Macaca fascicularis: one gene and its partner. The protein of the gene in region 1 interacts with the protein of each later gene in a pairwise test. Links are inferred from orthologs where the notes say so. Each region holds a gene or a part of one and is shown in the gene's direction. Other genes may lie near its edges. The genes, in order: HDAC6 and ERBB4.

What was found.
Region 2: the proteins of HDAC6 (region 1) and ERBB4 interact in a protein complementation assay, tested with the Homo sapiens proteins (2 studies listed by BioGRID and IntAct, with this or other methods). The link is inferred for Macaca fascicularis from reciprocal best matches to the Homo sapiens genes HDAC6 and ERBB4.

What each region holds. Positions count from the first base shown.
Region 1 is NC_088395.1:48,959,015-48,974,825, forward strand, and holds the start of HDAC6 (protein deacetylase HDAC6), read left to right. Parts: upstream 1-1,699; 5' UTR 1,700-1,718; coding exon 1,719-1,904; exon of another isoform or gene 1,905-2,040; coding exon of another isoform or gene 2,041-2,052; exon of another isoform or gene 2,053-2,433; intron 2,434-2,540; coding exon 2,541-2,663; intron 2,664-2,748; coding exon 2,749-2,877; intron 2,878-3,006; coding exon 3,007-3,095; intron 3,096-5,611; coding exon 5,612-5,696; intron 5,697-5,805; coding exon 5,806-5,846; intron 5,847-6,591; coding exon 6,592-6,688; intron 6,689-6,832; coding exon 6,833-6,930; intron 6,931-8,907; coding exon 8,908-9,012; intron 9,013-9,132; coding exon 9,133-9,201; intron 9,202-15,688; coding exon 15,689-15,811.
Region 2 is NC_088386.1:107,198,003-107,213,813, reverse strand, and holds part of ERBB4 (receptor tyrosine-protein kinase erbB-4), read left to right. Parts: intron 1-8,727; coding exon 8,728-8,775; intron 8,776-9,568; coding exon 9,569-9,866; intron 9,867-12,665; coding exon 12,666-13,111; 3' UTR 13,112-15,811. UniProt on the Homo sapiens protein: Tyrosine-protein kinase that plays an essential role as cell surface receptor for neuregulins and EGF family members and regulates development of the heart, the central nervous system and the mammary gland, gene transcription, cell proliferation, differentiation, migration and apoptosis.

The sequences.
Region 1 (15,811 bases):
CTCACACAAAAGGAGAAAAGGCCCCTTCCCTCAATCCTGTAAAAGAATCCCAGCCAGATAGAGACGATCAAGGCCTGACACTACAGCACAGACCGGCAAACTACGGCATTCAAGCCAAAGCCAGACTGTGGGCTGTTTTACATTTTTAAGTTGTGTTTTAAAAAGAGAGAGAAAAAAAGAAAAATGCCACTGAGACCGTATGTGGCCTGCAAATCCTAAGATGTTTACTCTCTGTCCCTTTATAAAGTTTGCTGACCCCTGCTCTACAGAAACCTCTCTTCTGATCCAACAGAAAAATGGGCCTTGACCCTTTGCAAGACTCCCTACTCTTTTAGGCTGCAGGTATCACAACTGTAAAATTTTTTGTACTGTGTTATCATTGTATGTGTTTTCTTTGGTGAGTGTAGGGGTTTAAAGGTCTTAGGTCTGCAACTCTTTTGCGCTGAGACAAAAGATAGGTTCAGGTAGGAGGGGTGAAAGGGAATCGGCGTCAGGAACTGCCATCAAGAGGATTAGAGGGCACAGCTACTGGGCGGTGAGACCGTCAATCTGTCAGTCTGATGCTGAACCCTCGAACTGCTTATCTCTCCGGTCCCAGCTTATAGCCTGGTAGGAAATGGTGGAGAATGAGAGAGGGAGATTAGAGGACAAACCGGCCTCCTGCAGAGCTGACATTCAGACACGGAGTGGGAGTTGCGGGGGAGACAGGGTGCCCAGGGACAGCTCCCCAGACTCACACACACTTTCTATTACTGCTTGGGAGCAGTGGTTACCCGTTGGAGGGGGCAGATAGGGAGAGCTGCTGCCCATGAGAACTCCCCTCCTCAAGTCCATTCTGGCCCTGGGCACTATTATTATCACAACTTTCCAGATGAGGAAACGGAGCACAGAGCTGTTCAGTAACTTGCCCAAGGTCACATGGTTAAGTCCCGTAACCTCAGTTTCCTTATCTGCAAAGCAGTCTTAATAATGGGAACTACCTCATAGAATTGTGGTTTACAACGATGCCTGTCACATAATACTTGCTATCATTACCATTCCCTGCCCCCACTAAGACTCCTTCCACCCAGAATATTGCGGCAGAATATTAATAGCTAACATTCGGCGAGCGCTTCCTGTGTACCACCGTAGTGAATATTAACTTGGAAAATCCTCACAACATTTAGCATCGTCACCACGCCCATTTTGGCCGCCGCCAGCCAAAATCCAGTGGCAACCTCGCTCTCGACCCAGCCACAACCAGCCCGCCCGCTCTACGTCATCAGGGCGTGTCGCGCGGGAAGTCGCGGGGAAAAGAGAAGACGCCCCTTCCTAATTCCCTCGCTTCCTTGCTTCCTTTCGCGACACCGCCGGCCCGAAGGGCTCTTAAGTGACTGGACAGGGACGGAGGGGCGGCGGCTATGGCATCCAGGACGACAGCGACGGTAGCCGAGGCACGGGAAAGCTTGCGCCTCAGTCCCGTTGGGAACTGCCGGCGCCTGCGTTTTACGCAAGCGCAGCACAGCTGGCGTAGCACGCCGACGCACCGCCCCGACGCCTGTGAGCTCGCGAGAGGTGTGGCTCAGCACAGCTGGCGTAGCACGCTGGCGCGCTCCCCCGCCTCGCTCCCCCGCCGCCTGTGAGCTCGCGAGAGGTGTGGCTCGCGCGAGGGGCGCGGCCTTGAGGCACGCTCCCCTCTGGAGGCGGGATCTGGGCGGGCAGTCGAGAGACCAGGCCCAATGGAAAAGAAAGGCCAGGGCGCTCGCGTCCCCACGGGTCGCCAGAAACTTGGCGGAGCGAGCCAAGGGCGGAGTTTGAGAAAGGGGCTGCGTCCAGTGAGTGGAGCGGCGAGTACAGCGCGTCGACGGCGGAGGCGGGAAGGGGGCGGAGGCCGACCGAAGGCGGCTAGGGACTGGCTGAAGGGGGTTAGCGAAACGTTAGCGGTCGGGTCTGGGCAGGGGGTGGAGCTGGTTGAAGGAACGGGGCAGTCCCCTGAGGAGCGGGGCTGGTTGAAACGCTAGGGGCGGGATCTGGCGGAGTGGAAGGTACCGGTCCGGCCCGATGAGGGGTGGAGTTAAGTGAATCGTTAAGGGTGGAGCCGGGGCCGGGGCCGGGGCCGGGGCCGGCTGAGTGAGAGGGTGGGTGATTATCCCGGGAGGTAGGCCGAAAGGGCAGATTCGTGAAGGAATGGGGTCTGGGCCGGGCTTAGAGGGTCTGGGAATGGGGTTTGGGAGAGTGGAAGGGGCGGTGATTGGTTGGAAAGGGCAGGCCCTAAAACGGACTGAGTGAGCCAGGGGGCTCATTGCTCAGTGAAAGGGCAAGACTAGGGAAAGAGAATCCTGTAAAAGGGGTGGAGTCTAGCGGACCGGGCGGGGCCAGGTAGAATGGCCACCTGAGTGGAGGGAGAAGGCCTGAGAGAGGCGGAGTTTGGAAGGCTGTGGAGAATCAGATCGTGTAAGGAATGGAATCTAATAGAGGGGGCGGAGCCTGGAAAAGGGCAGAGAGGTGGGGTCCTCAGGGCACACTAGCCCCCTCACATACCCACGCTCCCACCTCTCCAGAACCGCGGCAGGGGTCAAGCCTCCTCAACTATGACCTCAACCGGCCAGGATTCTACCACAACCAGGCAGCGAAGAAGTAGGCAGAACCCCCAATCTCCCCCTCAGGACTCCAGTGTCACTTCGGTGAGGCCCTAGACCCGCCCTCATGAGGGGGAGAGGGAGCAAGTTGGTCATTCCCTGGACTCTGACCCTTCTCTCTGATTCACAGAAGCGAAACATTAAAAAGGGAGCCGTTCCCCGCTCCATCCCCAATCTAGCGGAGGTAAAGAAGAAAGGCAAAATGAAGAAGCTCGGCCAAGCAATGGAAGAAGACCTAATCGCGGGACTGCAAGGGATGGTGAGCAGGGCCTGGCTGCAGTTTAGACTCCTATGACAATCAAAACCCAAAGGTTCCCAACCCTGGACAGTTCCCTCTGACTCAGGGCCTGAAATGGATCTGTATGTCCTTTTTTTTTTTCCTCTGCAGGATCTGAACCTTGAGGCTGAAGCACTGGCTGGCACTGGCTTGGTGTTGGATGAGCAGTTAAATGAATTCCATTGCCTCTGGGATGACAGGTGAGGCTGGGTCCTCCAGGCTGTCTCCAAAACACAAAAATACACACATTTAGAGCCCATTAGCAAGAATAAATCCTTTCTTACCCCAGCCTGGATACTGGAAGCAGATGATTTGGAGAGGTAGGGCTCACACTTGAAAGGGTTCTTCTGTGTAGCTAACAAACATTTATTGCCTATTGTGTGCCAAGAGTTGGTGATACAAATGTACCAAACAATAGACAGGGTCCTTTCTCTAGGAGCGGATTGATGAGTAGGAGGGCAGATCATTAAACAGCCAAGAGCAGTATGATGTGTTTAATGAAAACAGACTAAAGACCAGGGGATTCAAGGGTGTATAAAAGAGGATCCTAAACTAGTATCCAGGCTTCCCAGAAGGCTTTATAGAGGAAGAGACGTTTGTACTGAAACAGAAGGATGAAACCTCCCATTTGCTTTACTTTTCAAAAAGAATCAGCAAATCTTTTTGACTATATGTTCTGACCTCTCCTCACCACCTCCACTGCCACCATCATCATCACTCACCTAGACTTGCAGAAGCCTCCTCCGTGGTCCCCTGCTTCCAGCCTCACCTCTATTGTCTGTTCATGCAGCAACCTAAAAAAATATGTATGAGATGATGTCTTTGTTAAAATACTTTAAGGAGGCCGGGCACAGTGGCTCACGCCTATAATGCCAGCACTTTGGGGGACCAAGGCAGGTGGATCACTTGAGGTCAGGAGTTCGAGACCGGTCTGACCAACGCAGTGAAACACCGTCTCTACTAAAAATACAAAAATTAGCCAGGCGTGGTGGCACGCACCTGTAATCCTAGCTACTTGGGAGGCTGAGGCAGGAGAATCACTTGAACCTGGGAGGCGGAGGTTGCAGTGAGCCGAGATTGTGCCATTGTACCCCAGCCTGGGCAACAAGAGCAAAACTCTGTCTCAAAAAAAAAAAAAATTGCTTTAAGGGCAAACTGTTGCCCTCAAGGTAAAGTCCAAATTCTTCATCGTGGCCTCGAAGGTTCCACATGATCTGGCTCCACATCACTTTGTGACCTCATCAGCCAATCCTCCTCACCCACACTAGTCCCCTTGTTCTTCCAACATGCCAGGCACCCTCTTACCTCTGGTCTGTACCCTGACCAACCCCTTTCCCAGAGATTCTTTTCGGTCTTCTCTTCCAGCTACCTTTCACATCCCAATGAGACTTTCTCAGAGAAGGTTTTGCCTGACCAAACCCTACCCCAGTACCTGATCTTATTTTCCTAGCCCATGACATTGTTTGCTAATTGTCATACTTGTGTGTTTACCAATTAATATCTATATCCCTTATCCCAACCTAAGAGTAACTTACTATGGGAAAAGACTTCTTTTATGGAATACCTATTTACCATCTATTGAGGAGCTAGGAATGCAGCAGTAAACAAAACAAACAAAAGCCCGTGCCTTCAGGGAAAAGGGGGAAGACAGACAATAAATAAACGAAAAGTAAATGATGCACTGTGGTAGAAAAGGGCAGTGTTATGGAGAAGCAGTAAAGGGAGGATAGTAGGAGAAAGTACAGTGGAGGAGACTTCAATTTTCAATACGCTGGTCAGGGCAGGCCTCACTGACATTCGAGCAGGGATCTGAAGAGGTGAGGGAGTAAGTCATGGAGACAGTTGGAGGAAGAGTATTCTAGGCAGGGCTGGGGGGGCAGCTAGAGTAAAGTTCTAGGGCTGGCTGAAGAGTATTTGGTTCGACTGAGAACCAGGGAAGAGACCAGTGTAGGTGAAGCGAAGCAAAGGAAAGAAAGAGGGGTAGGAGATGGGGTCAGAGAGGTGATGCAGAACAGACAGTTTTGGGCCTTCTGGGCATGGGAAGTACTTTGGCTTTTACTCAGAATGGGATGGGAGCCTCAAAAAAAAAATGGGACATGAACTGATTAGGGTTTTAACCAGTGTCTGGCTGTCATGCACAGAAAGGACTGTTGAGGTGGCGAGGGTCGAAGCAGGGAGGCCGAGGAGATGCCACCACAGCCCAGGCAGGAGGGTATAGTAGTAGCAGTGGCAGTGGTGAGGAGAGGGTCACACTCCAGAGCTGATGGAAGGCAGGACTGACACCACAGTTTTGTTTTTTTTTTTTTTTTTTTTTTTGAGACAGAGTCTCACTCTGTCTCCCAGGCTGGAGTGCAGTGGCCGGATCTCAGCTCACTGCAAGCTCCGCCTCCCGGGTTTACGCCATTCTCCTGCCTCAGCCTCCCGAGTAGCTGGGACTACAGGCGCCCGCCACCTCGCCCGGCTAGTTTTTTGTATTTTTTAGTAGAGATGGGGTTTCACTGTGTTAGCCAGGATGGTCTCGATCTCCTGACCTCGTGATCTGCCCGTCTCGGCCTCCCAAAGTGCTGGGATTACAGGCTTGAGCCACCACGCCCGGCCTCACACCACAGTTTTGGGGTAAGCAGCTGTGGAAGGGTGGATGGGGAGATGTGGAGAGAGCAGATGTGGAGCTCCCCAGTGTCCCCATGCATCTGTGACTGTGTCTCCATCTCCCCAGCTTCCCGGAAGGCCCTGAGCGGCTCCATGCCATCAAAGAGCAACTGATCCAGGAGGGCCTCCTAGATCGCTGTGTGTCCTTTCAGGTAAGGCCCCCAAGCCAACACTCTGGGTAAAGGGCAGGGAGCTGACCTGACCTGGGCTCAGCCCATGCCTTAACCCTTTATCCCGCCTTTATTCCTCATCTCTCCCCAGGCCCGGTTTGCTGAAAAGGAAGAGCTGATGTTGGTTCACAGGTGAAGGCTTGGGAGCCTTGTAGGGATGGGGAGGAGCCTGCCCTGGACAAACCAGGGCAAGCTAAACGCTTTGGGAAGGAATGTCATGGTCTCTGTGGCCAGCCTTGGGCAAGTCGCTGAGCCTCTCTGAATCTATGTCATCGCCTGTAACAAGGGAACCAGTAAACTTAAGTTCCTCAGGAGAGTTCGATGTGTGTCAGGTGCTTAGAACAGGGCCTGATGTATCATCAGTCCATCATGAGCTATTACTGTTATCATGATCTGATTGAACAGATGGTGGATGTGTGGACAGAGTGATCGGGTGGATGTGTGGATGTGTGGACAGAGTGATGGTGGGTGTGTGGACAGTTTCCCCAGGGGCTGCAGGAACCCAGATTTAGAGGCCTGGTGCTGTGTGGCTCGAGGAAAGCTAGCTTGGCAGAGTGGGTATCTGAGCTGAGCTTTAAGAGGAGAAAAAGAGTGAGTCAGATGAAGAGGGTGACTGAGGGAAGGGAAGAACAGACAGCTAGACAAGAGTGGCCAAAGGCCTGAAAGTAGGATTTGGTATGGCTAGAGCAGGGGAGCAGAGAATATTACTGGAACTGAGGCGGGCTAGGGAAGAAACAGAATGTATCTTAAATCCCGGCTATTCCTTCAGGTTGACAGTTGGGGGAGCCGAGCCCTAATTTGACCAGGGGTTTGGTGTGTGGACGGCTCAGGTGGGGAAGAGACAGGGCCCTGAATCTCATCTCCCATCTGTGTCTAGCCTAGAATATATTGATCTGATGGAAACAACTCAGTACATGAATGAGGGAGAACTCCGCGTCCTAGCAGACACTTACGACTCAGTTTATCTGCATCCGGTATGGATGAGAACTGTGGGGGCAGGGAATGGTGGCAATCTTGGGGTCCCTATCCCTATGCCCACCCTACCCTGGGGCAAGCAGCTGAGTGGATAGGGCTGTTCTCTCCCTCACTCCCTCTCTGGCTCCCCACTGTCTCTCCAGAACTCATACTCCTGTGCCTGCCTGGCCTCAGGCTCTGTCCTCAGGCTGGTGGATGCGGTCCTGGGGGCTGAGATCCGGAATGGCATGGCCATCATTAGGTAGGACTCTCCAGCATTTGACTTTTTACATTGTTTTAAAGTCCTTCCTTCAAGTGTAAAATGTATTGATATGGGTAATATATTCATGTGATTCAAGAATCCAAAGGTACAAAAGAGAATATAATTAAAAATCTGTCTCCCATCCTTGTCACCCAGACACCTGCCTCCTCTCATGGGAGGTAGTCATTGGAACCACTGACTCATGTGTCCTCCCACAAAGTCTTATTCAAGAAATAAATACCATATTTCATTGATTCTAAGGTGTACATTTTTTCATATCTGTAACATCTTGAAATCCAGATGCATCTTACAAACAGTGACATCTCAGAATTCCATTGGCAGTATTTTCTGCTTTGTTTTTGGCATGTAAAATCATGGTACATCTTATCATCGTTGGCATCCCAGAATTGATGAAATGCAAAAGGTTTCTCCTCCCTCCCCTGTTTTTTTTTTTTTTTTTTTTTTTTTTTTTTTTTTTTTTTTTTTTGAGACGGAGTCTCGCGCCGTCACCCAGGCTGGAGTGCAGTGGCCGGATCTCAGCTCACTGCAAGCTCCGCCTCCCGGGTTCACGCCATTCTCCTGCCTCCACCTCCCGAGTAGCTGGGACTACAGGCGTCCGCCACCTCGGCCGGCTAGTTTTTTTGTATTTTTTAGTAGAGACGGGGTTTCACCGTGTTAACCAGGATGGTCTCGATCTCCTGACCTCGTGATCCGCCCGTCTCGGCCTCCCAAAGTGCTGGGATTACAGGCTTGAGCCACCGCGCCCGGCCTCCCTCCCCTGTTTTTAACCACAAATGGTAGTAACACGACATACTCCCTTCGTACCATCTTTTCACTTACACATCTTGGAAACCTTTCTCTGACAGCATGTATCTTGGAGCCCGGTAGAACACCATTGTGTAAATGTACTCTTTGTTAATCAGCTCCCGACTAATGGGCATTTTGGTTCTCCTCAGTCATTTGCTGTTTTAAAAAAAAATGCTACAGCAGGCCGGGCGCGGTGACTCAAGCCTGTAATCCCAGCACTTTGGTAGGCCGAGATGGCTGGATCACGAGGTCAGGAGATTGAGACCATCCTGGCTAACACACTGAAACCCCGTCTCTACTAAAAAAATACAAAAAACTAGCCGGGCGAGGTGGCGGGCGCCTGTAGTCCCAGCTACTCGGGAGGCTGAGGCAAGAGAATGGCATAAACCTGGGAGGCGGAGCTTGCAGTGAGCTGAGATCCGGCCACTACACTCCAGCCTGGGCGACAGAGCGAGACTCCATCTCAAAAAAAAAAAGAAAAAATGCTACAGCAAATATACTAGTACCTTTATAAAAATAAAATGTTATTTTATACTAACATAAAATAAAAATGTTACTTCACCCTTTTTAAAATATAGGTTGTGGGCTAAGTTCCTGCAACAGAGTGACTGGGTTTGAGAATGTATGCATTGATCATTTTATTTTTATTTTTATGTATTATTTATTTTTTGGAGACGGAGTCTTGCTCTGTCACCAGGCTGGAGTGCAGTGGCGCAATCTTGGCTCACTGCAACCTCCGCCTCCTGGGTTCAAGTGATTCTCCTGCCTCAACCTCCCGAGTAGCTGGGACTACAGGCGCCCGCCACCACATCTGGCTAGTTGTTTGTATTTTTAGTAGAGACAGGGTTTCACCATGTTGGTCAGGATGGTCTCGATCTCTTGACCTCGTGATCCACCCGCCTCGGCCTACCAAAGTGCTGGGATTACAGGCGTGAGCCATCATGCCCGGCCTTTATCATTTTAATGAACATTTTCAAATCTCCTTTGGAAACAGGGGTAGATTGGCAGGGGGTGAGAGTTTGAGGGGCTCCATTACTCAGTTCCCAGCAGATTTTTAGGCATCAGCATTAAAGGAATTGGTGGTCCAGGATTAGAGAGCAGGGGATAGTATGTCTCTGAAGAGGAGGACCCCTCACACACTCCAGGCTGTTACTTTCTTGTCTTGCCCAGGCCTCCTGGACATCATGCCCAGCACAGTCTTATGGATGGCTATTGCATGTTCAACCACGTGGCTGTGGCAGCCCGCTATGCTCAACAGAAACACCGCATCCGGAGGTCAGCAGCAGAGGGCAGATGTGATGGGGGTGGCATGGGGTGGGGTGTCCTGCTCTGGGCTCTTCCCCCAGATTCACCTTGATCCCCTTGCACAGAGTCCCCTCTCTCTCCTGCTCCTAGGGTCCTTATTGTAGATTGGGATGTGCACCACGGTCAAGGAACACAGTTCACCTTCGACCAGGACCCCAGGTATACCCCAACTCCCACCTAGGTGCTAGACTCCCAGCCACCTCCCACCCTTACAGGCCCAGCCAGAAGGGGTCCAGAGGGAGGAAAAAGCATTCACATTCATGGGGCCTATCCTGGGATCAGGATCTGTGCTACTTTCTGTGTGTCTGCCGTCTCTCCTAATTTCACTCTGAGGCAGGGACTGTTGGGTTCCCCATTTTACAGATAGGGGGACTGAGGCTTATAGGTTAAGAGGTCACACAGAGAAGAACTGGGAGAGATGGGATTTGACCCACAAATATTTGAAGATCTTATTCACTGATTAACCCTTGAGCTGGAGTGAACCTCAAATTAGTGCTTTATTTTTTCTGATTAGGATAATGCTTCAAATTTGTTTATCCTTTCAGTAGATAGTAAAAAATAAATATAAATAAATAACAAACTATTTGTTTAAAGAAATTAAATAATACAGAAGTGTCTGAAGTAGTGAGTCTCCTCTAATTTCCATTACCTCAAAAATAAGTGTTGACAGTTTAGGTTATATCCTTACAGATTTTTTTCTACAGATGTCTGAATTTTTATTATTATTGTTATAATTATTAATAACACTGCCTAATGGAATAATTCTCCCCATGTTCTTCGACAACTTGCTTTATTCATTTAACAGCATATCTATATCTGGGACATTTCTCCATGTTAGTACCCCTTAAAGTATCTTGTTCTTTGTAGTATTCAATTTTATGACTGTACTTCTGGTTATTTAACACCAGGACTTTTAAGATGCTTCCCAGTTTTTGCTATTACAGGCACTTCTACTGTGAATAGGCTAGTAAATATGTAATTCTGCACTTCTCTAAGTCTATCTGTAGGATGAATTTCTAACAGTGGATTGCTTGGGCCAAAAAGTCAGCATACTTTAAAGTCTGGTATACACTGTCTGACTTCCCTCCAGGAGGGGACCAGTTTACCCTTCCTGCAGAAAGTGATTGAGCAAGTCCTTGTGAGTAGGGGACATTACTAAGTACGGGTTGATTATCCCTTATATGAAGTGCTTGGAACCAGAAGTATTTCAAATTTCAGATTTTTTCAGATTTTGAAATATTTATATTATATTTAGTGGTTGAGCATCCCTAATCTGAAAACCCAAAATCCGAAATACCCCAGTGAGCATTTTCTTTGAGCATCATGTTGGCCTTCAAAAACTTTAGGATTTTAGGGCCAGGCGCGGTAGCTCATGCCTGTAATCCCAGTACTTTGGGAGGCTGAGGCAGGTGGATCACCTGAGGTCAGGAATTCAAGATCAGCTTGGCCAACATGGTGAAGCCCTGTCTCTACAAAAACACAGAAAAATTAGCCAGGCGTGGTGGCACACACCTGTATTTCCAGCTACTCAGGAGGCTGAGGCAGGAGAATCACTTGAACCCAGGAGGCAGAGGTTGCAGTGAGCTGAGATCACACCACTGCACTCCAGCCTGGGTGATAGACCGAGACCCTATCTAAAAAAAAAAAAAAAAAAAAAATGTTTAGGATTTTACAGCATTTCAGATTTCTAGATTAGGGATGCTCAACCTGTAGTAGTTGTTTTATCTAGCCTTCTACCCAGCTGACTACAGAGAATCCACTTATCCAAGACATTTTACATCTGAAGAATCTAAGCCGGGCGCGGTGGCTCAAGCCTGTAATCCCAGCACTTTGGGAGGCTGAGACGGGCGGATCACAAGGTCAGGAGATCGAGACCATCCTGGCTAACACGGTGAAACCCCGTCTCTACTAAAAAATACAAAAAACTAGCCGGGCGAGGTGGCGGGTGCCTGTGGTCCCAGCTACTCCGGAGGCTGAGGCAGGAGAATGGCGTAAACCCGGGAGGCGGAGCTTGCAGTGAGCTGAGATCCGGCCACTGCACTCCAGCCTGGGTGACAGAGCCAGACTCAGTCTCAAAAAAAAACCAAAAAAAAAAACAAAAAACAAAACAAAAAAAAAGAATCCAATTTAGGTTGGTTGTTCTCTAGACATTGCTTTACTATTTTCCAGCATTCAGTGTTCCTGACAGGTGTCTGCTTTTCATTCCTTTACAAGTAATCTACTTTCTGCTCTGCAAGGTTATCTTGGTGTTCTTTTTTCTTTCTTTCTTTCTTTTTTTTTATTAGATAGGGTATCACTCTGTTACCCAGGCTGGAGTATAGTAGCGAGATTATAGCCCACTGTAACCTCAAACTCCTGGGCTCAAGCAATCCTCCTGCCTCAGCCTCCCAAGTAGCTAGGACTGCAGGCATGTGCCACCACACCCAGCTAATTTTTTAAATTATTTGTAGAGACAGGGTCTCACTATGTTGCCCAGACTGGTCTCAAACTCCTGACCTCAAGTGTCCTCCCACTGCAACCTCCCAAAGCACTGGGATTACAGGCATGAGCCACTGTACCTAGCCTTGATGTTCTAAACTTTTACCCTGGCCTTTTCACTCTGCTCAGTAGTAGGTAGACATTTTACATCTGAAGATTCATGCTTTTCTTAAATTCTTGGAAATTATTCTCTATTAGATCTTTGATAATTTCTTCTTTGTTTTCTCTGTTCTCATTCTAGGACTTCTGTTAGTCAGATGTTAGACTTCCTGGGTTGATCCTCTATGTCTATCTCTTTTTGAGTTTTTTTTTTATTTATTTGAGACAAGGTCTTGCTCTGTTGCCCAGGCTGGAGTACAGTGGCACAAATGTGACTGACTGCAGTCTCGACCTCCCGAGCTCAAGCAATCCTCATGCCTCAGCCTCCTGAGTAGCTGGGACTACAGGTGCACACCAGCATACCCAGCTAATTTTTTAATCTTCTGTAGAGATGGGGTCTCACCATATTGCCCAGGCTTCTTATTTTTTATCTCATGTTTTCTGTCTCTTTTTTCTTTTGCTGTGACCTGGGAGATTTTGTCAACTTTATCCTCAAGCTCTTCTGTTGAATTATGTATTTAGATATTCTGTTAAACTCCAAAAGCTCTTTCTTCCTCTCTGTTTCTGTGCCCTCTCATTCCTGATCTTGTTTTTATAGAGTATGAATTAGAATTGCCAGCCGGGCGTGGTGGCTCATGCCTGTAATCTCAGCACTTTGGGAGGCCGAGGTGGGTGGATCACTTGAGGCCAGGAGTTCAAGACCAGCCTGGCCAACATGGTGAAACCCCATCTCTACTAAAAATACAAAAATTATCCAGACGTGATGGTGCGCACCTGTAATCCCAGCTACTCGGGAGGCTGAGGCAGGAGAATCACTTGAACACAGGAGGCGGAGGTTGCAGTGAGCCAAGATCGTGCCACTGCACTCGAGCCTGGGTGATAGAGGGACACCCTGTCTTTAAATAAAAAAAAAAAAAAAAGAAGTGCCTTAAGTTTCTTCTGTTGTCTGAATTATGTCTCTTTATTCTGAGGCTGGTTGAATTATTTTTTCTTGGTCCTTCTCTTTTATGCTGATGGTTTCCCTCAAATGTCTAGCAATCCTTATTTGGCTATTTATACCCAAGAATGAAGGCCCATTGTAGGGAGCAGAGGACTACGCTGCTGCTGCGGTGTTTGTAGATCTGTTTTCCTGAAAGGCATTTCCCCAGAATGGGGACAGGGAATGTCCACTGACAGGTTGCAACGTTAGTGAGTGTGGGCAAGTACCCGGGCATTAGATGGGATCCTGCCAGATGTCAGAACAAAGGAGGCCTCTTCTTTGGGGTAGCATCTCTTTTCCCTCAGCCTTGCCAAAGGTGTGTCTGTTCTACTTACCTTTCCCAGTCTAGCTTTGGGCTTTGTTGGTCATCTCTACTGTTTTATTATGGTGGGTTTTTAATACTTCATTAATTTTTCTGGTTTTATCTTTATTATTTTTTTCCTACTACATTCTTTATTTTGTTCATTTCTGGCTTCTGGAATTGAATGCTTCAACATTTATCAACTCATTGGCCGATCTCATTTCATCTATACCTGTACCCACTGCCCTCTTCCTGTTTTCCTTCAAAGCTAATCCCAGATACCTACCATATAATTTCTCCTGTAAATATTTCAGAATGCATCTCTAAAACATAAGTATACTTTTTTAGAAAAGCATTACCTTAGTATCAATACCTGAAAATTAACAAGAATTATTTTCTCAATCTGCCAAGGGTCTGTCATTCAAAGAATTCTTTAATATCATTAATCATTCTTTTTGTTTGAATAAATGCATAGGAGGCTATAGCTGTGTGTTCTTTCGTGGGTACACTATTGACTACACACACAGATGTGAAACATTGTGTGCACATTCAGTGCATTCTTCCTTATAAACAAACATGTGTAAACAAACAAACAAAAAGAACATGTCCATACCCTTGAATCTCCCAGCTCCCCATCTCTCAGTCTCTGAACTCCAGCAGCAGGGAGACAAACTGGACAGTCCTTAAAATGCTGTTGTGAAGACAAGGAAAGCAGATGATCTAAAACTAAGTAGTTAAACAAATAACGTTGGTGCATTGGTGATTCGGTGGGGCTCTTCAGAAGGGATTTTGTGTGCATTGACCTGGATCTGTACTGGATTTCTCCAGAAAAGAAACCTCAGGTTATCTTGGGTGCCCCCTTATCCTGCTCAGCATGAGACAGAGCACCCTGGGGCTCCTGGAATCTCAAAGTCTACTTTCTAGAAATTCATTGAAGTCTCTTATTCTCTGACATCCTTTCTTCCACTCTCTCTTTCTGGGTTGCTGTTTATTTACAATTTCTTTACTGTATTTTGACCGGGGTGGTAGGAGGGTGAGGTAAACCCGTGCTATCAGTCCACCATTTAACTTGAAGGTGGTTGAACTTATTTTGAATTTCCCTTCTGTTTTCTTTTTAAACTTAGCTTCCTTGAGTGCTAGTTCTGTTGTTTGTTGACTTTGATGGCTCTCTTTTAGAGTCAGCTTTCTTCAGATCTTTTCTTTATTGCTGTCTTCCCCGATGATTTTTTTTTCTTTTTCTTTTCTTTTCTTTTCTTTTTTTCTTTTTTTGAGACAGTCACACTCTGTCGCCCGTCTCCCAGGCTGGAGTGCAGTGGCCCAATCTCAGCTCACTGCAACCTCCACCTCCTGGGTTCAAGCAATTCTCCTGCCTCCATCTCCCAAGTAGCTAGGATTACAGGCACATGCCACCACGCCCAGAAAATTTTTTGTATTTTTAGTAGAGATAGGGTTTCACCATGTTGGCCATGCTGGTCTCCAACTCCTGGCCTCTAGTGATCCGCCCACCTTGGCCTCCCAAAGTGCTGGGATTACAGGTGTGAGCTACCGCACCCGGCCCCTGATGATAATTTTTATGTCCTACTGTGTTTCTCTTCCTCTAATGATTAACTTACCAAAAGTTTAGAACCAAGATTTATCTATCAATGTCAAAAATAAAACAATCATCCTCCACCCACTCAAGACCAGAGCTTTTGCATGTTTTTATTCCCAAATTCCAAGCTCTTTTCCCTCAATTTTAAGAATCTTTTTATATCACTTGCATTAAATTTCACAACTACATTATCAACACATTAAAATGTGACTCTTAAGTTTGTCTAGATTCAGTGCATACCACTATTTCTTGCATTTCCCTAAAAAAGCTGCCTTAGATCCTCTCTGGAACAAGGCAGGGGGTAAATGACCAGATAGAAGGATGGATGGATGATAGATTATTCATTTTGCTTTCCCCAGTCAGAAATAAGCCCTCCCATGGCCCCTTGCTGGGCTTTCTGTTAAAACACGTGCATCGCATCTTTTCAGTATCTATTTTGCATGTCGGTCCATCTCATCCCTCTGAGTGCTCACTCTCTTGCCTATAAAATAGAAGAAGTAGTAGAGGTGACCTGTAAGGCATTGGGGAGAAGGAATTGCCCTCTCACTGGCCTTGTGGCAGCCCCAGCCAGCACCCCGTCTCCAGTTCCACCCACAGAAGCAAGTCTCACCCCTTCCCCCCAGGTCTCTCTACTTCCTGCTAGAGAATCACCCAACTCCCCAGCCTGGCTTGAGGCTTTTTTCAGCCTTAGCTAGCTCCCTGCAGCTAAGAGCCCCATGCTCCATTTGGGACTCCAGTGTCACAGTGTTTGACCTGCTGTTACTACTACCTTTGTCATAGGGGCAGGTAGTGGGCAGACATGATCTAGAATACCCCACAGAGTCAGGAGCCCCCATGATCTGGGATAGACCCTAGAGCTGAGCCTGAAATTGGGTGGGCACTGAGGGGGCAGTGATGTTTGCTGAGGAAGAGGTTCTAGTGAGAGACTAAATGAATGAGTGAGTGAGGTAATGGATAAATAAAGATAAGAATGGATGAATGGTAAGATAATTAAATTGGTGACTGAATGTAAGGATAAATTAATGGAAGAATGGATTCATAGATTAAATAATTAATGGGGAAATTAATGAATGAGAGAATGAACGAGTGGTTGAATGGGGAAATGAGTGGTAGAGGAAACTGGCAACTGTTGGGTTGGGAGTGTCTATGGGGATTGACTCTTCTCCAACTCTCTTACCTCTTTTTCTTCTGCCCCCAGTGTCCTCTATTTCTCCATCCACCGCTATGAGCAGGGTAGGTTCTGGCCCCACCTGAAGGCCTCTAACTGGTCCACCACAGGTTTCGGCCAAGGCCAAGGATATACCATCAATGTGCCTTGGAA
Region 2 (15,811 bases), on another chromosome or scaffold:
TATTTGCCAGTAAATAAAATAACTCTAAACTCTAAATAGAATAACAAATACTTCTAAGTAGAACTCTTATTATTTTTAGTGAACATCTCATTTGTTGATAAACAATATCTGCATGTGAAACATAGGAAAAACAAAACAAAAGCTACCCCACAAATGAGCTAACAGCCTGTAAAAGACAACGTGTTTGATTGTATGGGTTAAATAACCTTTGTTATCTTGTTTTAAGCTATTAATTGCCTTAGCATGTATATGAATACATATACATGTGTATGCACATATATATCTAACATATGTATCCACACAAACACAGAGCCTAAAATTCAGATTTAAGTGTTCACTGATAGTACAAAAGGAAACATATTATATCTAGGCAAATACATTACATTTCAAATTCTAAAATTATGGCATTCAAATTCCAAGAGTTTATAGTCTTTTTTTTCTTATTTTTAGTTCAAACCTGCCTTATAGATTACTTATTTTTTTAATTATTTTAATAATCCCTAGACAGTATCTTATTGCATAGACAGATCTGGAGATAAATGCTGTGAAGGTAAAAGTATATCAAGTAACAGATAGAAATATTGTGAAGGTAAAAGTATATCAACTGACAATAAGCATGTATGTATATGTCGATTTTTAATAACTGGCTTTTATAGGTAGAGTGTTTAAATAACATATCTCTTTTCTGTGAAGGGCAACCTGTTTTGTAGATAAAGTACTATTTTAATAAATACTACTTTTAATTAATATGTTTATGGCCAGCTTTTATATATAGTATTTAATACTATAAGGATATCCCTTTTGTCTAATAAACTTACAGCCTATTCAATAACAAGTTAATATCTGTCTTCAAATTAAAGTGTCACAAAATTTACTTTAAGAGTATATTAATATGTATTTCAGCTTAGAACAAATGTTTTGGTTAAGGCAAATGCTTTCAGCTATATTTTAAAAATAGGTTTGTTTCTGAAAAACAATGCAGCCTCTAAAAGATACTTCTTACTATTTATTAAATGTTAATTTGAGGCTGTAAGGTATAATGGATTGCACTTTGGATGGGAACTCAGGGAATCTTGTTTCTAGTACCGTCACTATTTTTGTTACCTTGGAAAATTAACCTTTCAGAGTGTCAGAGTCTATCAGTAAAATAAAATTCTAAAACTTTTTTTCAAAATTGTATTTTCATGACTCATCATCCAAATGTGGTTAGGCTCATAAAAACATACAATTATATATTGCATGTAGCCTAAGTGATACTTTGTACAATAGATAGTCCATTTAAAAAAGGAAATTGATGAATCGACTTTGAAAAGATTTACGAGAGAAAACTTTATAAGATACTTTGCTTTAATGCTAATCACATTTTACAATATTTAATAACTAATTGTGTGAGCTTAAGGCAGAAAATTCATTTTATATGTAAATCCTTTGATAGTTGGAAGTGATCTTTCCCATTACCTGTCCTATACCCATATTCTTCTTTTTAGAGTTAAATAAACTAAAGGACCAAGAAGCTAAAGAATTTGTTAAAAGTCATGTGACTTAGTGAAAAATATTCAAGAATGAAATCCTGGAGATAGAAGGATTTCATGAGACCATTTGTTTTAGGTCTGTGAAGTTTTTGTCTTCAAAAGACGCCTGACCCGGTGCATTGTTGGCATCCTGAAAAATCCTCATCAGATACTCTTTATGATGTTGGAATAAAAACCACACAAGCAGAGACAATTTCATGATTCATTTGAAGAATCAGGCTACTCCAGAATTTATACATAGTTAAGGCTTGATGATCTCATTTCTATTCTTAAAGACATTGCATTAGAACTAGATGTTCTTAAGCATACATTAAAAAAAGAAAAGAAAAATAGCCTACCCTCTCTAACTGAAAAGAATTACTGAGAAGTCTTTGAGAAACTCCTAGAAGTTCTCCTCTTTAGATTTCTAGCTACATGCATTAGCTAGTAGCTAAGTGATAATTAGGAAAAGGTTCAATTATCACAACATGCTAATGAAAATGAATATAAACATGCCAAAAAAGAGAAAGTTGCTAGAACAAACCAAACAATACAAAAATTTAGAACTTGCACCAGGGTAAAGAAATCAATTCTGTGTGATAACTAATCTCAAGAAGGGTGACACAATTCTTGTTGTTATCTTGAATGAAGCTAAGGAATGTTGACATTAGTGGAAAATTATATTTCTTTATGCCCTTTCTTTTTTGACTGTGCTAATAATATTCTTTGATTCCATCACATAACATTGCTCAAAGAAGCAACTTAAAGCAGAAACCTGTAAAGTGAGGGGAATGTTCAGCTTCATTTTATTGACTCATCTAGCCATGAATATTTTAAAAGGAAATATCCTCTTGTTCTACTGATATTTGGAAAGGGTACAGGAATTGCTGCCTGGGGATACAATAGCTTACTTACCCTCAGTGAAGCAGGAAGAAGAATTTATTGACTAAGCCTTGTACTAGGAACAATAAATCCATAATCAGGAGTGCTGTCATGAAAAATCTTTGTGCTCTCCAGTTATTTAAAATTGTCTCTTCCTGCTTCAGGGCTGGCTTTGCTCTTGGTGAGGTAGGTAAATGTATATATACACAATATGATTTTAGATAAAAAGGACTTGTAAGAAAGAATGGAAAAATACACACACACACACACACACACACACACACACCCTATTAACTCTTAATACTCAAAGTTTCCTTCTTTCCAGTTTATGTCCTTGTAACTAATTTAAGTGAAAAGTGGGGTGGAGCAATACTGTAATGCATTATCAGCATTTTATACCTAAGGTAATGAGTTTCGATGTGCCTACTTAAGTCATTAAGTTCTTTTCACTAAAACTAGAAAAAGAAACTAAGAATTTGAGAAAATAGTTGAAGCATAATACAAAGGAAGAGAGAGGGCAAAGATGAGTAAGAATAGAAATGCTAAAGTCAAAATCTATGTGCGGTATAATGTAAAGGTCATAGAGTGACGGGCTTTGTGGTCAGATAGCCAACTATGGATGTGTGCACACGGCAGATCCTTTAATTTCTCTGCTCCTCAATTTTTTTGTCTATAAAATGAGAGTTATAATTTTTAATAATGCTATTTACCTTGCAAGTTTATGAGAATACATAAAACCTAAAATAGTCCAACGTATAGGGTGGGTACATAATACATATATATATATATGTGTGTGTGTGTATACATATATGTTAGTTTCTCTATTTCTTTTTTTTTTTTTTTTTTTTTGAGACGGAGTCTTGCTCTGTCACCCAGGCTGGAGTGCAGTGGCCGGATCTCAGCTCACTGCAAGCTCCGCCTCCCGGGTTTACGCCATTCTCCTGCCTCAGCCTCCCGAGTAGCTGGGACTACAGGCGCCCGCCACCTCGCCCGGCTATTTTTTTGTATTTTTTAGTAGAGACGGGGTTTCACCGTGTTAGCCGGGATCGTCTCTCGATCTCCTGACCTCGTGATCCGCCCGTCTCGGCCTCCCAAAGTGCTGGGATTACAGGCTTGAGCCACCGCGCCCGGCCTCTCTTTCTATTTCTTAATTTCCCTAAGAGTCATCATGTATTCATCTATGAAACAGAATAGACTCAAAATAAAGTAGACTTTGAGGACTGACTTAAGAAAAGTGGGATTATTAAGCATTATAGAAGACACCATTTTCATATGCTTTGTAAATTCTGTCCTGACTCTTGTTCATATTTACAGATACCACTCATAGCTTCCATTTATTAAATTTTTTAATTAAATGAGTACATGAGACATATACGAAAGATGAAAGGTTCCAAGATTAATGAGTGAATAAAGAATGAGAGCTGGCCAGGCACGGTGGCTCACGTCTGTAATCCCAGCACTTTGGGAGGCCGAGGCAGGTGGATCACGAGGTCAGGAGTTCAAGACCAGCCTGACCAAGATAGTGAAACCCCATCTCTAAAAATTAGCAAAGCATGGTGGCGGGAGCCTGCAATCCCAGCTACTCGGAAGGCTGAGGCAGAGAATTGCTTGAACCTGGGAGGCAGAGATTGCAGTGAGCCGAGATCGCACCACTGCACTCCAGCCTGAGTGACAGAGCGAGACTCCGTCTTGAAAAACAAACAGCAACAAAAAAGAATAAGAGCCCAAGTCAATATTTCTTCAACTGGACCATAGAGTCATTATTGGGTGTGTGTGTGTGTGTGTGTGTGCAGAGTAAGAGAGATTGTTCAAAAAAGTATAGTCCCACAGAATCAAACCAAATAGAAAAATGAGTAAATAAATATATGTATACATAGACAAAAGATATTATGTGTAATATATATAAAATTCAGCCAGCAGCTGAAATCTCAATAGACTTCTCCCAGCCATTTTTGGGTTTGGCACATATGGACACATTTTCTTTGTTTCCTTCTGATTGCCCTGTGAAAAATGAAGGTTCTAAATCTAAATGTCTCAAAACACTGGTATGTTGAACTCAGTTGTGAGAAAGATGCAGAGTTACAACCATGCATCAGGAATTATAATTTATAATACAATAATTATAATAACCTAATGCAATAAACATTTTCTGTATGCTGCCTTGTGACCTCTGAAAGTGTGGAAATGCCTATCAGAGTGTTAAGCAGATATGTCAGGGAGGATAAAGGGTTGAGAACCTTTAATAGTTTAATACTTCCACTATGTGGAAGTGTCTAGATAATAAATTAGTGCTGATGGATTAGCAACGTCTTATAGAGACATTTTATTTTAGTCAAAAGAATTTGGAGTATTTCTTGAACCTAGAAATTGTAATCTTATAATTACTGTTGAAAGTAATAGTTATTTAAAGATTAGAAAATGACTCTCATTGATCACATGTTTAATTTAGATAGAAGCTAGGCATTAGGCCTGTATTTTTGTTTCCTCTGAAAGTAGATTTGTATAATAACTTTTTTAAATATCACGAGATACAGTCCATCTATTTAATAATTAAAATTTCTCAAGAACACTATAAACAATACAAATATAAGAAATACTGTGCATAAAATGTGACAAAGGTTCTAATATTTATCATTCAACAAAAAAGTAAATTTTAGAACATGATGTATTTAAAAGTGCATTTAATACTGTATTTGATTTGTTTGCTGATACTTGCCTTCTCTGTAATCTCCGGCATTTAAATCCAAGTTAATCATACAATGTCCCAGTGATATGGCCACAGAATTAAACTCATTCCATCCATCACCCTTACAAACGCCCCCCACCAGGAACAAACTCAGTGTCACCTGCCAGTTCGTAACCCACGTCTTTCTATCTCTGCCCTGCTGACAGTAAATTGCCTCACCAGCTAATTGAACAGATGCACCCAGTGCTGCTTCCTAAAGATCTGCAAAGCTGGACTTTGATGGACAGCAGAAAGTAGCACAATGGAAAAACAAAAGCTTTTAACTGAGAGCATTGCTTTGTTCTGCTTAGAACTTTAAGGTCACTCCAGCTCATTTTGACTGCTGTGAGGATCTTAATTTTTACTCAACCAATTTACTTGCAGCTGTCATTCTTTCCAATATTAAAAGTTCAGCTCTTCAAGTGTGGGGAATTGAGGGAGAGAGAAATGAGAAGAGCTTGTTTCAAACTAAAAACAGCAAAAACAAGTAAAATCTGGCTTGGCTCTGAAGTACAAAAAGTTATTTTCAAAGCTTATAAATTATGACATCGTGATTAACATGTAATTTAAATATATTTAAACAACAATTATATCACATTTCCAGCCCAGCTAATTGGCCTCACAGATGTTCCCTTGGAGCTGCATTGCCCTTCCACGGGGAAATGAATGAGGTGCTTTTTATCATGGAAAACAGATAAAAAAGCAAACTGAAAAAATGGAAACAGAAACATAAAAAGCAGCCAGTAACCCTAAAAACAATGAATGCTAAAGGGGTTTTGCTTAGCATTTTTTTCCATTTTAATGCTGAAAACAGGAAAATTCATGAAGATGCTCCTATTACTGTGATGCTATTTGGCAGTTTGTCCAGATATGGAGTTGGCAGGTTGCTGACTGAAAGACTTGTCAAAGCAGGGACAGTGGATGCATTCTAATAGGGCATGGCCTCGCTTTCTGTCTTGGAACAGACTAACCGCAAGAGTCCCAGTTACTTTAATCCATTGCCTTTACAATGGAAGCCATTCTAGCCCAGATAATGAATATAGATAATAAACTGTTCCCCGATGAAGAATGACTTGTAAGTTGTTCCTTTGATTGTTTATGTCTCAGGTTTTGTAAAGTGCAAAATGTGCAATCAATACTCATTTCTCAGCTGTAATTCTAGTCAAACATTACCCAGTACAGCAACTTTTGCAAGGTAAGAGGTCAAAGGAGCACTAGTAATTATGAATATTTTGGAATACCTTGCATTCTAATATAGAATAATAGAATTGAAATAAATTGCCTTGTTTCATTCTTGCCTTTTCTTCCAACAATCTCAGATTATAATCGATAGTGTAAATTCTAAAAGGACAGTGGTCATGTCTTTCTTAGTGTATCGTGGTATCGCTGGCATCTACCACAGTGCCTGTACTTTTACTGTAGAAATTTAGTAATAGTTGTGAAGTACTTGCCAAATAATTGGTGTTTAATGAAGAGGGTAAGGCCAATGTTTGTAGTTTGGTGAAGTTCCACCAGGCAGTTCCATATTTCCTGTACTGTCACTCTATATTACAAATCACTGGACTATAAAAAATTCTCTACTCAAATTTTAAGAACAAATGTACTGGATTTCAGGTATTTCTAAAATATAGTAAAACATGCCTATATTTAAGATGATTAGAAAATAGATGAGCATTTTAAAATGCCTCTTTGATGAGTAGCTTTGGCATCCTGATTGCTTTATTTTAGAAATTCAATTTAGTGGATATGAATATTTAAATGTGATATTTACATTTTTATAATAGTGCAGAGTTTACAAAGTTAATTTATATGCATTATCTTACTTCATATTTATTAATAATAAAATAGAGAGGCCAAGAATGAAAACGAGGGTCTGAGATGTTTCATGATTCACCAAATTCACACTACTTATCATTGGAACTAAAGCCCAGGTCATTAAACGATCTGTCTGTTGCACAGTAGCACCTCCTATGTATTGCATATTAAATATATCTCTGACTTTCCATGTCATAATCTTTGATGTGTTGTTAGTTATGTTACTAAAGAAGAAAATAGATAAATATTCTAATGCCACCATAGTTATGGGGAAAATTAAAATATAAACTCACTATAAGGGTTCAGACCGTGTCCCTTGATTAGTCCAGCAGACTAAGTTAGTTAAGGGAGATTATATTATCCAGTTGTTACTGATTTACTTTAAATACTTAATCTCCATGGGACCATATTCTTCTTAGAATGCTTCGTGAATCTAAATCATATGAACAGTGACCTGGAATAATATTTATCTGTTTCATATAAAAGATGTTAAGTATCTGTAATCCCAGCACTTTGGGGGCTGAGGCAGGTGGATCACGAGGTCAGGAGATCGAGACTATCCTGGTTAACACGATGAAACCCCGTCTCTACTAAAAGTACAAAAAATTAGCTGGGCATGGTGCCAGGCACCTGTAGTCCCAGCTACTCGGTAGGCTGAGGCAGGAGAATGGCACAAACCCGGGAGGCGGAGCTTACAGTGAGCCGAGATCCTGCCACTGCACTCCAGCCTGGGCGACAGGGCGAGACTCATCTCAAAAAAACAAACAAAAAAGATGTAAGGTATCTTAGAGGTTGATTTTAGTCATCTCTGTTTACTTAAAGCTGGATTGTAGAGAATATGAGCTTCATAAAATCAAGCGGTTTGGGTCTGTGTTTTGCATTATCCCTGTGCCTAGAAAAGTGCCTGGCACATAGACAGTAGGTTCTCAAAAAATGTGTTTAATGTATTTTTTTAATTAAGAAACAGAATTAGTATCATACAACTCCTTTTCCTTACCCTAAAGAACACTGTCCTTCATATTTTATTATATTTTTATACCCTCTTTCAGTTAGCCCATAGGATGGAGTGTTAAGCTATAAAAATATACATGTATTTTTGTTGTTGTTTCTTTAACTGAATCTGATTTTGACTCATTATAAATACATAAGGGGAATCTAAAGCATGTTTCCAGGAAATGAATTGATTTTCCAAATTTTCTGCTGTTTCTTAACTTAAAAAAAAAAGTAAGACTGAAGATAAAATAGCATATACCTTTTAATAAGGAGAGGCAAAAGAGTTTACCCTTTGCTGAAGTGGTGAAAAATAAATGTAGCTTGATAGCAAAAATTACTGCAGGCAAATCGAAATCTCCTGCTATCTCCTTCCAGAAATATTTATTCTAAGAGAAAAAATAACAGCAGCGTATATGGCCATTTCAATCTTTTGACATGTAAAGAAGGAAACCATTTCCTATTTACATCAATAGTTTATTTACTACTTTTTCCTTTCCAGTAGGGTTAATCAGAAGAAAGTTTATTATTTACTTTCTAATCCATTGAAAAATTTTGCTTTTTCTGTATAATTTGCCTTTTCAGGGATTGAATTAAAATATCTATTTTCCTCAAAACATATAAATAAGCTTGCTTATGGTCAGAATACAGACAATGTTACTGCTTAGGAAGCTTCACTGTTGTGCACTTTTCCCCCTTTGGTTCATACGACTCATGTGGCTTTTCTTTTTCGTTTCTTTTTTTAATTTTTTCATTCATATTGCCTCTTATTATATCCATCATTCCATTTTTCTTTCCTATTAGAGTGAAATTGGACACAGCCCTCCTCCTGCCTACACCCCCATGTCAGGAGTAAGTATTTCACAATCAACCTTCATCTTTTAGGATTTTTGGTCTTTGCTTACCATGTTTCCTCTCTCTTGTCTCTGCACAATTTCCTCATTTTGCCTTTGCCAACAGTGAGTTAAGAATTTGCTGTACATTGTGTAGCTGCCTTTTTAGATGTGTTTTTATCTCAGTTGATAATATAAAATTGAGATCTCATGCATCAACAGTAGCTTTCAATTTTTATCTGAAGGATTTACCTGCGCATATAAATTATGCTTCTGGATGTGGAGGTGATCTTTACTTCCCTGAGTATAGGTCATGTACTAAAAAGTCAGAATTATAGTGATGATCCTCTGGTTAGGTACTAGAGCCTCAAATTCATAATAACCACAGAATTTTAGAAGGCAATAAAGACAAAGGATTATTCAAAATATATCCATGTACTTCTATTCTTAATGACAACTGTCTATAATGACACTCCCATTTATCATAAAAATTCACTTTGAAGTTTATATTAAATACAGGCACTTGTGGGAAAAGGGCATCAAATACTTTTTATTAGATTATGTTACAGTTGGTTAATAAAACTAAAATGTGTACTTCAAAATTATTTTCTGATGATTTATCTTTTAAGAAAAGCGGAAATTTTAGGTGTTTCTAGTTTGTAACTCAAATTCATTAGCCACTAGGGAAAAATAAATAAATACTATGACTATTCTCTAAAAGACTGGCTTTGACATCCTTGTGGCTATTAACATTCATTTTTAAACTATTTCTAACAACACCTTCTCTCTAAATATGTTTCTCTTATTAACAGAATCAGTTTGTATACCGAGATGGAGGTTTTGCTGCAGAACAAGGAGTGTCTGTGCCCTACAGAGCCCCAACTAGCACAATTCCAGAAGCTCCTGTTGCACAGGGTGCTACAGCTGAGATTTTTGATGACTCCTGCTGTAATGGCACCCTACGCAAGCCAGTGGCACCCCATGTCCAAGAGGACAGTAGCACCCAGAGGTACAGCGCTGACCCCACCGTGTTTGCCCCAGAACGGAGCCCACGAGGAGAGCTGGATGAGGAAGGTTACATGACTCCTATGCGAGACAAACCCAAACAAGGTACGAACTGATTATTCAAAAATGATTGCCATTTGAAGTTCACTTCCATCAAGATAAACAAAGTACAGAATGGAAATTGCCAGATAGCTGTACAGCACAACATTTGTGACCTAGTAAAGGCCTAGGCTACTGCTACTTGCAGTATGGTCCCTGAATCAGCAGCATCCACATTATTTATTATTATTTATATAAATCAGAATCTCAGGCAGGCCCCATCTGAATAGGAATCTGAATTTTAACAAGATCCCCAGGCTATCTGCATACAGCAATGAGTCTTGAGAGGCACTATTCTAAACATATTTTGTTGAAATATTTGAATGAGGTAGCAGACCACAAAGTGTCAGGACCATAGCTTTATTGGACTTAATTGTGGAGATCATAAAGACTGGTATTGTTGGCAAATGTGCCTGATGCTTTTGATGGCGCTAATAAATGATTTGTTTGACTCATTTAAAAGGTGTCATTTAAACAACCTAGTTTATTATAGGAAAATATTATGTTTTTATATGACATTTTTCAAAAATTAAAGTTTTGACCCTGTATATACTTACAAGCATACCATCAAGATTTGAAAATAATAGTTTGTGGTTTTACAAAGCACAACAATAATTTTGTAAAGTTAGTAGTAGAAATGTTAAGCACCCAAATCAAATAATGCTTCAATTTTGCAACAAAACAGCTTTTCTTCTTCTACGCTAACAGTATCACAATAGAGAAGATAGATGATTGTTATTAAAAAATGATGATCATGTCTCTCGCAGTCTTTAGTGTCAATAGTAAACTACATTTTGAAACTCTGAGAAGGGCTTGTTATAAGGTTATGTTCTCTCCTTCAAAGTAAAATTTAAAGATCTCTAATTGTAAATAACCTTTTAAAATATATCTGTCTAGATAAAACTTTTACATATATAAAACTTTTACACATATAAAAATGTAATGAAGAGTTTGGATGTTCATAGTAGCCTAGTAATGGCACAAATGTAGATTTTATGAAGATTTGGTGGATTCACCCCAAAGAAGCAGCTTTTCTGGGGACATTTTCACTTCAACCGTAAAGTTATTGGACAGCTATACAAGTTTGCATCAGGATAATATATAAGTAGATCGCATTGAGGAAAGGTAATGTAAGGCTAAGAGAAAAGCAAGTCACCCTATATAGTCACACTGTATTCTCAGATTTTATCTCTGAACGCTAAGCTCCATTTCTATAAAAGATTGCTATAGTCTCACCTCATACTCAGAGAGTACAGAATTTTAGTATAGACATTCCTATTCTTTCAATTAAGAAGTTTCAGAAATCTGGTAAGAAAGATCAAATTCTACATTGCTTATAAGTGTTTTCATATGCTTGTCAAAGTAAAACTTGTGGCTAAGCATAAAGTTCACCCAACTCCTGCAGGGGCAATAATAACAAACAGTGCAGTAGAATAAGAAGATTACTCAAGAGGAGTTAGAAGACCTGAATTCCATCCCAACACTAATTGTATCCTGCATACATCACTTAATCTCATTTTTCTGTCTACAAAGCTGGAAAAATAAGTCTTGTACTTCTTTTTCACAGAATTGTGAGGATGAAATGATAGTGTCTTGTAAAGTCCTATATATGATAGTGGGATATTCATTACTGCCCTTTCACTTGAATAAATGATGCTAAATACTTACCTATTCTGTATATATACATTTGGAGAAAAATAATCCTGGCTTAATAGAATTTTTCTCTCTACTTGTTGGGCTAAGGATAAGAGATAGAAAGTTTGTTTCAGAATGGCCTCTCAACAAGGAATTGTGTCCTCCTGATGCCTTGAATTCAAAATAGGAATAGCTTAGGGCTTTGCATATATAGTAAAAGAGAAGACTATTTAGAGGACCTACAATATATATGTGTATATGTCTATGTGCAGTTTATATTATAGACATAAATGTATTAAGAATTAATTAAGATTCAGGAGAATGGTGGTAATTATTAGCACCGTTTAGGCCAATACCTATACTAGATGGATTTATTAGATTGATCCATACAAAATAGGCACTAATTGACTGATTTCAATATACAAAATGGCTGTTTCATATGATTCAAGCTGATAGTTTGCCATTTTGTGATTATGATTGGTCAATGGAAATATTATAATTATACTTTATTATTAAGTAGAAGTATATGTAATGTCAAGCAAGTCCGCTAGAGGCATGTTAGCTATCTGTTAGATTTGCTTTTTTAGTTTAATTTTTTTCCTTTGATGCTTTCTTTTCCATGTGTAAAACTTTTGTCAGGAGCATCTCCAATCAAATCCTTTTTACCAGTATAGGCAACCATAGCAAACCATAGAGACTAATAAAACATGATTTCTTCACTCCATCTATTCATCTTGGCATGGAACTCAGCTATAGACTCTTTGGTTTTTCAATATCCTTTATAGAAATTAAGCTGTCTGTATATTTAAAGGCTATTTAATCCTAATAGGTAGTCTTATTTCCTAATATAAATAACTTTTAGAAAACAAGAACATTGAAACAATCAGCCCCATATGCAGAAGAGACAAATGCAATTAGAAAGAAATAAAAATTTAGGAGATAGAAATTCTGATTCTGGCCTCCTTGGCTTCTTGGTTTTTGTAAACATGTTTGGCCCCCTTACTCTTTTTTTCATAAGACCATGGTAATCCACAAATAGTTGTGAGAAATCATGAAAACAAATCTGTGGGTTTTTGTTCTAGACAAAGCAGCTAACCATTATGTATAACTTTGCTCTGATTAATATTTTCCAGAAAGTAGAGGTTAGCTGATTTTTTTTTATTCCTTTAGAATACCTGAATCCAGTGGAGGAGAACCCTTTTGTTTCTCGGAGAAAAAATGGAGACCTTCAAGCATTGGATAATCCCGAATATCACAGTGCATCCAATGGTCCACCCAAGGCCGAGGATGAGTATGTGAATGAGCCGCTGTACCTCAACACCTTTGCCAACGCCTTGGGAAAAGCTGATTACCTGAAGAACAATGTACTGTCTGTGCCAGAGAAGGCCAAGAAAGCGTTTGACAACCCTGACTACTGGAACCACAGCCTGCCACCTCGGAGCACCCTTCAGCACCCAGACTACCTGCAGGAGTACAGCACAAAATATTTTTATAAACAGAATGGGCGGATCCGGCCTATTGTGGCAGAGAATCCGGAATACCTCTCTGAGTTCTCCCTGAAGCCAGGCACTGTGCTGCCGCCTCCACCTTACAGACACCGAAATACTGTAGTGTAAGCTCAGTTGTGGTTTTTAGGTGGAGAGACACATCCGCTCCAATTTCCCCACCCCCTGTCTTTCTCTGGTGGTCTTCCTTCTACCCCAAGGCCAGTAGTTTTGACACTTCCCAGTGGAAGATAGAGATGCCATGATAGTTATGTGCTTATCTAACTTGAACATTAGAGGGAAAGACTGAAAGAGAAAGATAGGCGGAACCACAATGTTTCTTCATTTCTCTGCATGGGTTGGTTGGGAGAATGAAACAGCTAGAGAAGGACCAGAAAATGTAAGGCAATACCGCCTGCTATCAAACTAGCTGTCACTTTTTTTTCTTTTTATTTTTCCTTTTTTTTTTTTTTTTTTTTTTTAAGCAGATGGTTGAAACACCCATGCTATCTGTTCCTATCTGTAGGAACTGATGTGTGCATATTTAGCATCCCTGGAAATCATAATAAAGTTTCCATTAGAATAAAAGAATAACATTTTCTATAACAAACATATGATAGTGTCTGAAATTGAGAATCCAGTTTCTTTCCCCAGCAGTTTCTGTCCTGGAAAGTAAGTATGGCCAACTCAAATTTCATAATTTAAAAATCTCCATCAAAGTTATAACTAGTAATTATGTTTTGAAGCCTTTTTGTTTTTTTTTTTTTCATTTTGTTTTGCTCTGACCAATTCCTTTATATTTGCTCCCCAATTTTTGGCTTTAATTTCTAATCGCAAAGATGTTTACATCAAAGCTTCTTCACAGAATTTAAGAAATACTTTAATATAGTGAAATGACCACTACTTTACGTATACAATCTTTAAAATAAGAAAGGGAGGCTAATATTTTTATTTTAGCTCTCATTTTTCATGCTATCAAATTATCTTCACCCTCATCCTTTACATTTTTCAACATTTTTTTCCTCCATAAATGACACTACTTGATAGGCCATTGATTGTCTGAAGAGTAGAAGGGAAACTAAGAGACAGTTCTTTGTGATTCAAGAAAACTACTGATACTTTCAGGGTTGGTCCAATGAGGGAATCTATTGAACTGGAAGAAACACACTGGATTGGGTATGTCCACCTGGCAGATACTCAGAAATGTAGTTTGCACTTAAGCTGTAATTTTATTTGTTCTTTTTCTGAACTCCATTTTGGATTTTGAATCAAGCAATATGGAAGCAACCAGCAAATTAACTAATTTAAGTACATTTTTTTTTAAAAAGAGCTAAGATAAAGACTGTGGAAACGCCAAACCAAGCAAATTAGGAACCTTGCAATGGTATCCAGGGACTATGATGAGAGGCCAGCACATTATCTTCATATATCACCTTTGCTACGCAAGGAAATTTGTTCAATTCGTATACTTCATAAGAAGGAATGCGAGTAAGGATTGGCTTGAATTCCATGGAATTTCTAGTATGAGACTCTATTTATATGAAGTAGAAGGTAACTCTTTGCACATAAATTGGTATAATAAAAAGAAAAACACAAACATTCAAAGCTTATGGATAGGTCCTTGGCTCAAAGTTGTAAATAAATGTGAAAAATCTTCTCATGCAATTATTTTATTATCCAACACACTAATCTTTTGATACTTTATATAATTCCTTTTCTTCATATACTGCATCCAGTACTAGAACCATCATTATTATGTATCATTTTGAAAGAATACCTGATGATGAAGGATGGGAACAAATGACAGAGATGAGTCTTCCAAGTAAAGGGGGCCTCACATCAATAATTAGGAAACTTAGATATAAGTCCCCCTTTTCTGAAAATTCTACCCCAAGTCATTTAGATTTTTTAAAAATACTTCTTTCTAATGTTAAAATATTGGGACCAAATTAGAGTCAATAGTATAAGATTACTTAATTAGAGTAAAAATATCTATTAAGGCAGAGAAAGTTTAGAGAAAAAAAAATGCAAAGAAATTTGTTTCTTCCTATTCTGAATAAGTAAATCCATCCATCTATCCAAATCTCCTTTATCTAACTGTGTCTACTAAAAGCACTGTATTTTGTGGGAAACACTCAGATAAATGGAATATCATCCCCAACTTCAAAATTCTATCATCTAGGAGATTTAATTAAAATGACATTTTAATTTTTCTATGAGTTCAAAGAATCAGATTGCATAGTCTCTTTTGTGAATAGCTGTCATATAATCAGTTGCACTGTAACATATCTCCTTTGAACTCATTTGGGATATAAGTTACACATCCTTCAAATTGTTGATGTTGACAAATAGGATAATTTCAGTAATATTATTCAAACATAAACTGGTCTAGAAGAATATTGCATCACTGGCTAATTAACCTATCTAGATTCTAACTTCACCATTAAACCAAAAGCAGATGGTGGTCCTTGGCCAAGAATGATGAAGACATTGGAGTTGGTTTTCTTCTAAGCTATAAGAAGTGAGGCAAGCTGAAAAAGTACAGTAGAGCAGGGGAAGGATTTGTGAGATTCCTTCTAGGGAAGTTCACCCTCAAACTTTTCAGGATTAAAGACAGAGTGATTCAGGGGCCATAACCTAACAACTCAGAGCTCTCCTATCCATTCAGAGAAGTCTCTAGGAAAAGGAATCTCATATCAGTACTTATGAAAAATGGAATATAAGCCTCCCTTTCTAAATAAATCTGCACCGAGTCATCACAGCCCTCTTTTTGGATACTATACCTTGATTTTTTTTTTCTAATTTACACTATGCATATGGTTTCTACTGGGA